2 linked regions of the Nothobranchius furzeri genome follow. The protein of the gene in region 1 binds, or shares a complex with, the protein of each later gene. Links are inferred from orthologs where the notes say so. Each region holds a gene or a part of one and is shown in the gene's direction. Other genes may lie near its edges.

Region 1 (4,487 bases):
TTCAGAAAATGGATGGATGGATGGATGGATGGATGAATGGATAGATAAAAATTAGAAATATAGATTGTGAATTTTGACAATATATAAGCGTGATAAAATCTTTAACTTTTACATGATGAACTTACCAAAAAAGAAAACAATCTAATTACAATATGTCTTGTTTATTTCTCTGTGTACATGTGTAATATTTAAATTAGCATTTACCACATCTGGCAATTTGTTTCATTGACCTACTGAACTTTAAATGGTGCCATGACAGTTAGTCATTAGGGATGCACAGTATAATAATGGTCATTTTTTAACATATCAAAGTAAGTAAAGTAAAGTAAAACTGTGCCGATATTAACAACTAATAATTTTTTCCATCTTATCTTTCTTTGTGTGTTTGTTTCAGAGGGTGAGGGGGCGCTGATGTGTAATTGTTTAGTCATGTGACAGGGATGGTAATCATCTCAGAAGCAAAAATCGGTGTGGTGTGTGAATACAGTAAAATAAACTCGCACACACATATAGTTTGCTGCACTCTATAGAAATAAAGTGAAACATTCCAAAATTCAGCTTGTATAATTTTCAGTCTATACAAACTCTCATGATTTCAGAAGCATACATGTCAGCGTGTAAATCTATTTTGGTATTGGAAAATATCGGTCATCGGCCATAACAACGGTAATATCGGATATGGGCCCAAAATTTTCATATTGGTGCATCCCTGTCATGACTCACTGTGATTACAAAGTAAAAGAAAGGTTATTCAGAAGCTGCTGCAAGACGACCATTTTTGCAGCAGTGTTGACATCTTTATTCTGAGATACTTTACTTTTCTTGAAAGCTTTTCATTTCAATGAACCATATTTAAATATCATTTTATATAAAAAGTGTCTACATTTGATTAATTGTATTAAGTGAAAACTTTAATTACTATATGCACTTGCTTTTTAAATTTAAGAAAATTATATAAGTTTTCTTATGTGTATTTAAATGTTAATGCTCTCTAGTGGCTAACCTAGATAAGCACTATTTACGCAAATGTTTTATTTTGAAGACACCTACCGGAAGTCATACTACGACTCGATACATAATGTTGCAATTGACGTAACTGTAGCAACGGGACCGTGCGCACACACGGTGAAAGTTATTTTAGTAGATATAACTCATTCAGCAACTTATCAGGAGCTCCTGTAGGTTTTCTCGGAGCAAAAACAAGACAAAATAATGTCTGTTCTACTTTGTGTGAGCTGTGACTGTGGAAAGAGAGTGGGGGTTACACTGCCATCTGCTGGACGTTGTGGATAAGGACAGGTATCAGCATCAGGTGACCCAGAATGTTATTTAGTTTCCGCCGTTAAATAATTTCTACGTAAAATATTCAGCTGGTGGAATACATCAGCTGATACATCTTTGAAAAAGCTGGTAGACTGTTTAAAAAAACGTACACAACACAAAGTAACAATAAATGATGCATAACGGGGGAAAATAAGTTGTTCCCATCGGTTGTTCCCTGGTTGATCCTTATATTTTGTTCATGACCTCACCCCGACACTTGATGGCGGTAGTCTGCTCCCACCGGCGGCGACTTCATACAACAGAATAAGAACCACAGCGACAGTCCTTCGTGTTTTGTTTTTATTTTTATTTGTGAGTAAGATTTTTACGTTGAATTCATACTTTTGTGAGAGTATGATACATTGTACATACCTTTAAGATGTTTACGTTACGCTGTCTGTTGTTAAAGCTTAACCTTTCCTTCCTGGAAAGTTAGCTCCGGTGGCTAACGCTTGCCAGTGTTAGCCAAGGTTTTGTGCGTCTTTTATATTTGTTCTGTATGTAATACATAAATTATAAGTACAACGCGCTGTCTAATTAGACTCAACATCTATTTTCTGCTAGTCTGGGTCTAAAACGGCACAGCTATGTATAATAAAGTGCTTTTGTGACGTTTTTAGGCTCATCCAAACCAAGGCATGTTAACTCCTGTGTGACCTGCAGCAGCTGCCTGTAAAGATGAATCGAGCTAAACCGACAACTGTGAGACGCCCCAGTACTGCTAAAACTTCAGGTTTGAGCCGTTAAGCAACAATGAGCCGTGCCTTCGTTGAACCCGGCGTAAACGTGACATCTGTCTGTCTCAGGTCATCCTCCACCAGGAGATTTTATCGCTCTGGGCTCAAAGAGCTCGGCTGCAGAACCCAAACCTCCTCCAGCCCTCCTGAAGCCAGCGTCCACAGGTTTACCTCCTGACCGTAAGAGAGAGCCCCCGTCTACCCTGCCACCCTCATCGGGTCTGTCCAACCTCACCAAGCGATCCAAATTATCCACCACCCCTCCTGTCAGTGCTCTGGGACGGCTGGCTGATGTTGCAGCAGTGGACAAGAGGGCTATATCACCCTCGATAAAGGAGCCATCAGTTGTACCTATTGAAGGTTAAACAACAGCTTTGTGTTTGTCACTCCTAGCAGTGACGTCCTTTATTGCAAACCTTTGTGTAACTCTGACAGATGGTTCTTTTCGCTACAGTGTCTCCGGTAGTTCTGCTGGACGAAATTGAAGCTGCAGAGTCGGAGGGAAATGATGATCACATCGAGGGGTTGTTATGTGGAGCCGTGAAACAGCTGAAAATGAACAGAGCCAAGCCTGACATCACTCTGTACCTAAGCCTCATGTTTCTGGCAAAAATCAAGCCAAATGTTTTTGCAACAGAAGGAATTATTGAGGTGAGACTTTCTGTCCGGTGGAGACGTCTGTAGTAGAATTACACACGTTTTATTTGATTTCGTTGTCACAATTTAAGCTGTAAAGTTATTACTGACGCCCGACAATGAAAACAAAAATTCTAATCTCATCTGAACTCAGTTTTGCAGATGGAATTAAACTCGGTTCTTTTTATTCTCAACATGTCTCACTCTCGTCTAAAGGCCTTGTGCAGCCTCCTGCGCCGCGACGCTTCGATCAACTTTAAGGCAAAAGGCAACAGCCTGGTGTCGGTCCTGGCGTGCAATCTGCTCATGGCGGCCTATGAAGAGGATGAGAACTGGCCTGAGATCTTTGTGAAAGTGAGAACATTCAGGAAATTAGCTGGAGCAACACAATGTGTCGATTAAGTGAGTTTTGGTACAAATGGTTCTTCTTTAGGTGTACATCGAGGACTCGCTGGGGGAGCGGATCTGGGTCGACAGCTGTCACTGTAAGAATTTTGTTGACAACATCCAGACAGCTTTTAGTACCAAGATGCCACCGAAGAGTATGCTGTTGCAGGCTGATACCGGTCGCACTGCTGGAGATCTCAGCGCAGGTGGAGCTTCACCTGAAGTTGCTGCGATTTGTTTAAAGTGCTTCAGTTTTAGACCATTGCTTGTTTTTTGTGTCTGATTTTCAGGCAACAGCCCTCATCCCTCCATCCCAGATGAAGACGACACTCAGACAGAGTTGTTAATAGCAGAAGAGAAGCTAAGTCCCGAGGATGAAGGGCAGGTTATGCCAAGGTAGAGTGTTCACAACATTTATTTTTTTGAAAGTTAACTTTCCTTTTTTCACGTTTGAAATAAATAGTTTTTCCTTGTTTGCTGCAGGTACGAGGAGCTAGCCGAGAGCGTGGAGGACTACGTGCTGGACGTCCTCAGGGATCAGTTGAACCGCAGGCAGCCGATGGACAACGTCTCTCGCAATTTGCTGCGTCTGCTCACAGCCACGTGCGGCTACAAAGAGGCACGCTACTTGGCTGTGCAGAGGCTGGAGATGTGGCTCCAGAACCCAAAGGTGAGGAGTCGGGTTTAGTGGAGGGGATGCTTTTCATTGTCACATCTTAGCTGTGCAAGAGCGTTCGTCAGAAGTTCGGAGACACAACTGGAGTGTCTGGCTTTGGCCCAGAAACCAGACGTGAAAGCTAACTAAACACCCGTTGGTGCAGGTGAGTTAGGACCCAAGTATTTTGTTTGGAAATGAAAATAAGCAACACTTTGTGATTAAATCTAATTATTAACCAGTTTTCTGTCCAGAACATGCAGAAATGATTAGTGCTAGCAATCTGGCTTCAGCTCAGATTTCATCTTTAATGTTAAAACCGTTGAACACGCTATGATCTTAATGCAGAGCAGCGGCTGACTTTACCAAACATTTTCTTACCTGCTTTGGGAGTGTGAAATCAGAAGGGGTATTATATTTTTGTCTGCTGTTCATGCGTGTCAAAGCGGTGGCTTCTGAGCGTCCTCACATACCTGAGACATAGCAGGTGAACAAAGACTTCTCAAACATCAAATTCCATTAAAGAACATTTAATGTGCAAAAAAAAAAAACTGTTTATAAAAACCTTTCAGAGAATTTTTACGTCGATTATTTTTCCAAACAATGCAACAAGAATTCTCATAGCATGGATAAAGACGAGGAGATTTTAAACTGAACACGTGCTAAATGTGATGAAAACACAAACTCGTTTGGATTTGAGTAAAAAAAACATTGAAATGGTGTTTGCATTACGCTTTATTCCCGTCACT
Region 2 (4,451 bases), on another chromosome or scaffold:
TTTTAACTCAATAAGATGCTATTAATGCAATTTTACATTATGATGTAAAAATTGCACCTCCACGTCAGAAATAGACCAATATATTTGTTGGCCGACATATTTTTATAAATCAGCATCAGCTGATACACCCGTTTAGAGGGGCCGATTTAAAAACTGAAACAGCCACAGGCAGTCCAGTGCTGCTGCAGGATTTTATTTAAATGTGCGTGTGTGTTCCTGATCTACTTAATAAATGTTTAAAAACATTCTTCTTAACTGAAGTATTTTTTGTTTACCCGTTTTTATTTAAGACTTGGTCAGTTTATGATTTGTTCGATTACCTTTGGCTAAATGTTTGATTTTAATACGAGCGGTGCAAAAAAAATTAAGATACAAGAGTTGTTTAAATTCAGAGTTCAACAACGGATCCATGTTCAGAAACGTTGTGCATCATGTTTTTGTCAGTGACATCTAAGCATGCAAATAAGGTGGAAAATGTCGAGTTATCGGCCGCGAACATCGGTAGCAAATATCGGCCATCAGCTGACCATGACCCCCATATATCAGCATCAGTATCAGCATCTGAAAACCCCATATCAGTGGATCTCTACACCTGATTTCCCCAGACACCCAAAAGCTGACGCTTGTCTCCCACTGACCTCCGCACAGGCCTTCAAGCAGGTTTTTTTGAAACCCAGCAGCTCCAGAACATCCTTCCTGGAAGGGTCTTCCTCAGTGGTTTTGATGATAATGTGCCTGAGCACCACGGCTAGTCCTGCCCTGCACAGGCGCCCGCTCTCATCCACCGCTGCCGGGAGACGGCAGCTCCTCACCAGCTGGGGCAGATCCTCCAGCTGGACCCAGCTGACACCAACAGGCACTGGGAGCTGGCTCCTGAAAGCGTCCGAGCAGCTACTGGTGTAAACCATGAACACTTTGAAGGACTTGCACTCGCAGTATGATAGGAGAAACATAACTATGGACGTGTGCAGGGGGAGACGCAGCTCCTCGTTCTGGGAACAAACCTCTAAGAAGAGGGAGAGATGTTGCTCTTTTTTCTCGTTGTGCTTCATTGTAAATAAACTAGAAGGACAGTAAAACAATCAGTTAGTTTTATCATTGTTTTAGTGTTCTCTGTTGGTACTTTTACGTCTAGATTACTTAAATTCAACATATGACCCAAGAAAAATGACTTACCTGAAACAGGCGGACCGGTGTGTTTTGGTGATTCTTCTTCTGCTGTTTTTTCACTAGCATAGCTCCACAGCGCCGCCAGCGGTCTTCTCAAACGTTTCAAAACTCTCTTCATGAAAGAGTAACACCTATGTACAAAATATGTACCGCAAAGGAAAACATACGTGGGATGAATACTTATTTTATTATAACCAAAATAGTATAATAACCACGCGAACGCGAATACAAATTTCGCAAAACGTTCCGCCCTTGCAGACTCCGGACATATTTGTCGGTTACTCAAATGTGAAGACGAAACGCCGACGGAAGTGTTGCTCAGTTTTCCGTTGTTCAATAGAAAGAAAATATTCCGGTAAAACAGAAAATACACCCAGTCTCGGGTAAGCCTGTGTTTATGATAATTATGAGCTTCAATTTTAGAATTATAAAGCGACCTCGGTAACTACCGCGGTGCTTCTGTGGTTGTAGTCCGTCTTCCTGTTTTTACTCAGAAACCAAATATTTGCCAATGTTTAAAGTCATTCACAGCAGTTGGATCGGTGGGACTCGGCTTATAGGCGCCGGCAGTTCTTTTTACTTTGATGAAATGATACTAATTCACAGCATTACGTGAATTGTTATTGTTTGATTTCTAGTGGAAGCGATGGCTGGACCTGTCAGTTTGGAGCTGGATCCCATCTTCCTAAAAGGACTGAGTTATCTACATTCCAAGAGCAAAGATTCAGCTGAGAAGCTCAAAGCTCTACTTGATGAGTCCCTTGCTAGAGGCAGCGATTCCTCTTATCGCTCTTCACAAAAAGTAAGATAATTCATTCTCATATACACTCACCTAAAGGATTATTAGGAACACCTGTTCAACTTCTCCTTAATGCAATTATCTAATCAATCAATCACATGGCGGTTGCTTCAGTGCATTTTGGGGTGTGGTCCTGGTCAAGGCAATCTCCTGAACCCCAAATGCCACGGGCTACCTGAGCATTGTTTCTGACCATGTCCATCCCTTCATGACCACCTTGTACCCATCCTCTGGTGGCTAATTCCAGCAGGATAATGCACCGTGTCATAAAGCTCCAGTCATTTCAAACTGGTTTCTTGAACATGACAATGAGTTCACTGTACTACAACGGCCCCCACAGTCACCAGATCTCAACCCGATAGAGCATCTGTGGAACGGGAGCTCCGTGCCCTGGATGTGCATCCCACAAATCTTCCATCAACTGCAAGATGCTATCCTACCAATATGGGCCAAGATTTCTAAAGAATGCTTTCAGCACCTTGTTGAATCAATGCCACGTACAATTAAGACAGTTCTGAAGGCGAAAGGGGGTCAAACACCGTATTAGTGTGGTGTTCTTAATAATCCTTTAGGTGAGTGTAGAGAAATCCCCTTAAAGAGCAAGTCACCCCCTACCAGAGTCTTACTCCACTCCCACTTCCTGTTTGAAAAATGCAACAAATGCTGTTACCTGGCAGACCGAGGGGGTGGAGCCACTAACAAATACACACACAGGCTCACAATGACTTTGTGACATCATAATGTACTTCTTAGACAATAGCAATGGCAGAGTTTTTACCTGAAGACGACGTAACACTGACAGTTTTAGGCAGATTATTTAAATTTATCTAAGATGCACCAAAGTGCCAAGTTATTGACTACAAGTGTCTACAGCATGATTAGACACTCATTTATATAGTTTATCAGCAAGAAAGAAATTTGGGGGGGGGGGGGGGGGGGGGGGGGCTGACTTGCTCTTTAATGTCATTCGTATGACATTGTTTTAAAACCAAGTGCTTGTGCCTTCTGTGTGATTGTTTTGTCCTCAGGAGGTGGAAGTGTCAAAGGCATCCGTGTCAAAGCTGAGTTTAAGTAAAGAGCCCAAGTCTTCAAGTTCTTCTTCTGGCAGCAGCGGTGGAAGTAGTAAATCCAGCTCAGAGAAAGGCAAGAAAGAAGGCGAGAAGAGGTCATCAGAGAAGGTGTGGAAGACATTTTTCCAATTTTTACTAATGATCCCAGTAATCTGTGTCGTGTTGCTGTTCAATTGGGAAGTAAAAGTGCACAAATGAATGAAAAGTGCATATTATATAACTCTAAAGCTTTAAAGCAGAATCCGATTTAAATATGTGATCAGGTGTTTTTTGTTTGTGTGATTTAGTCAAACTTCCTTTTGTATTTTGCTGAAAAACAGGCCAGGGTTGACGTGAGCGAAGTGGACCCCCCCAAAAAGCCTCGTTTAGAGAAACAAGAGAACCGCTCCTCTCCAATCACATTTCAGACGAGCAAAGACCTCCTACCAAACATAAACGACTACGACGAGACAAACGCTGACGACTTTGCCATGGAAATGGGTCTGGCCTGCGTGGTTTGCAGGTACGAGTAGCCAATCGTGTAGATTTGTCAGCATGTTATTCCCTCAAATTAATCAGATCACCATTTTAAGCAGAAATTCAGTCTTTTTTTTTTAAATAATTAATTCTCTCAGACAAATGACGGTGACCATGGGAAACCAGTTGGTGGAGTGCCAAGAGTGTCATAATCTCTACCACCAGGACTGCCACAAACCTCAAGTGACTGATAAGGAAGTGAATGACCCACGGCTTGTGTGGTATTGTGCCCGTTGCACCAGGCAAATGAAACGGATGGTGAGGAAAATCAAGTCACGATCCTGCATCACCTTTTTAATGATGAACTAACTTGTTTGTTTGTTTGTTTGTTGACCAGGCTCAGAAGCCTCCTCAGAAACCATCCCCTGCATCTGCATCTTCAGCACCGGTTGTTAAAGACCCGCTGGTGAAAAAGACAGAGCTGAAGGCTAAAACCGATACAACCAGCACCTTCCAGGCCTTCAAGAGGACAGAGGTGAAGGTGTGTGTGAGTATTTTAATTAAAAATGACATCCTCAGTCTTGTTTCTACTAACCAGTAAGGGGTTTAGAGGTAAGAAAAGCAACAGGAACAGTTCCTTTTCTTTCCTTAATTGTTTAGAAGATTTGTTTCTGCGTTTGGATTCAGACAATATGGCAGTTTTAGTGTCAAATATATTCAATCTTATTAGTTTAAGACCTTTTAGGGATCATTTACCAATTAGAATACATTTGTTTTAAGTTAATAAAATAGAAATTAAAATACTAACCCAAAGTACCGTACCATGAAATCAGTTTTATCACCTTTTAAAAGCCTTTTAGTAACCAGCTATTTCCTGCTATAAAACCACCTTAAAAGAAAGCATTAGTAGAATTTAGTAACCCTAAATATTAGTTATGAATTCAAAAACATTACGT

Evidence for each region.
Region 2: ints1 (region 1) and ints12 share a complex: the UniProt entries of both Homo sapiens proteins name them as parts of the integrator complex. The link is inferred for Nothobranchius furzeri from reciprocal best matches to the Homo sapiens genes INTS1 and INTS12.

What each region holds. Positions count from the first base shown.
Region 1 is NC_091745.1:5,274,909-5,279,395, reverse strand, and holds the start of ints1 (integrator complex subunit 1), read left to right. Parts: upstream 1-1,538; 5' UTR 1,539-1,635; intron 1,636-1,943; 5' UTR 1,944-2,001; coding exon 2,002-2,056; intron 2,057-2,129; coding exon 2,130-2,420; intron 2,421-2,514; coding exon 2,515-2,711; intron 2,712-2,912; coding exon 2,913-3,050; intron 3,051-3,129; coding exon 3,130-3,289; intron 3,290-3,373; coding exon 3,374-3,479; intron 3,480-3,566; coding exon 3,567-3,753; intron 3,754-4,487. UniProt on the Homo sapiens protein: Component of the integrator complex, a multiprotein complex that terminates RNA polymerase II (Pol II) transcription in the promoter-proximal region of genes.
Region 2 is NC_091746.1:80,674,799-80,679,249, forward strand, and holds the start of ints12 (integrator complex subunit 12), read left to right. Parts: upstream 1-1,426; 5' UTR 1,427-1,553; intron 1,554-1,808; 5' UTR 1,809-1,816; coding exon 1,817-1,972; intron 1,973-2,997; coding exon 2,998-3,147; intron 3,148-3,359; coding exon 3,360-3,541; intron 3,542-3,653; coding exon 3,654-3,813; intron 3,814-3,892; coding exon 3,893-4,042; intron 4,043-4,451. Other genes in the region: gstcd (glutathione S-transferase C-terminal domain-containing protein), read right to left, coding at 639-1,052. UniProt on the Homo sapiens protein: Component of the integrator complex, a multiprotein complex that terminates RNA polymerase II (Pol II) transcription in the promoter-proximal region of genes.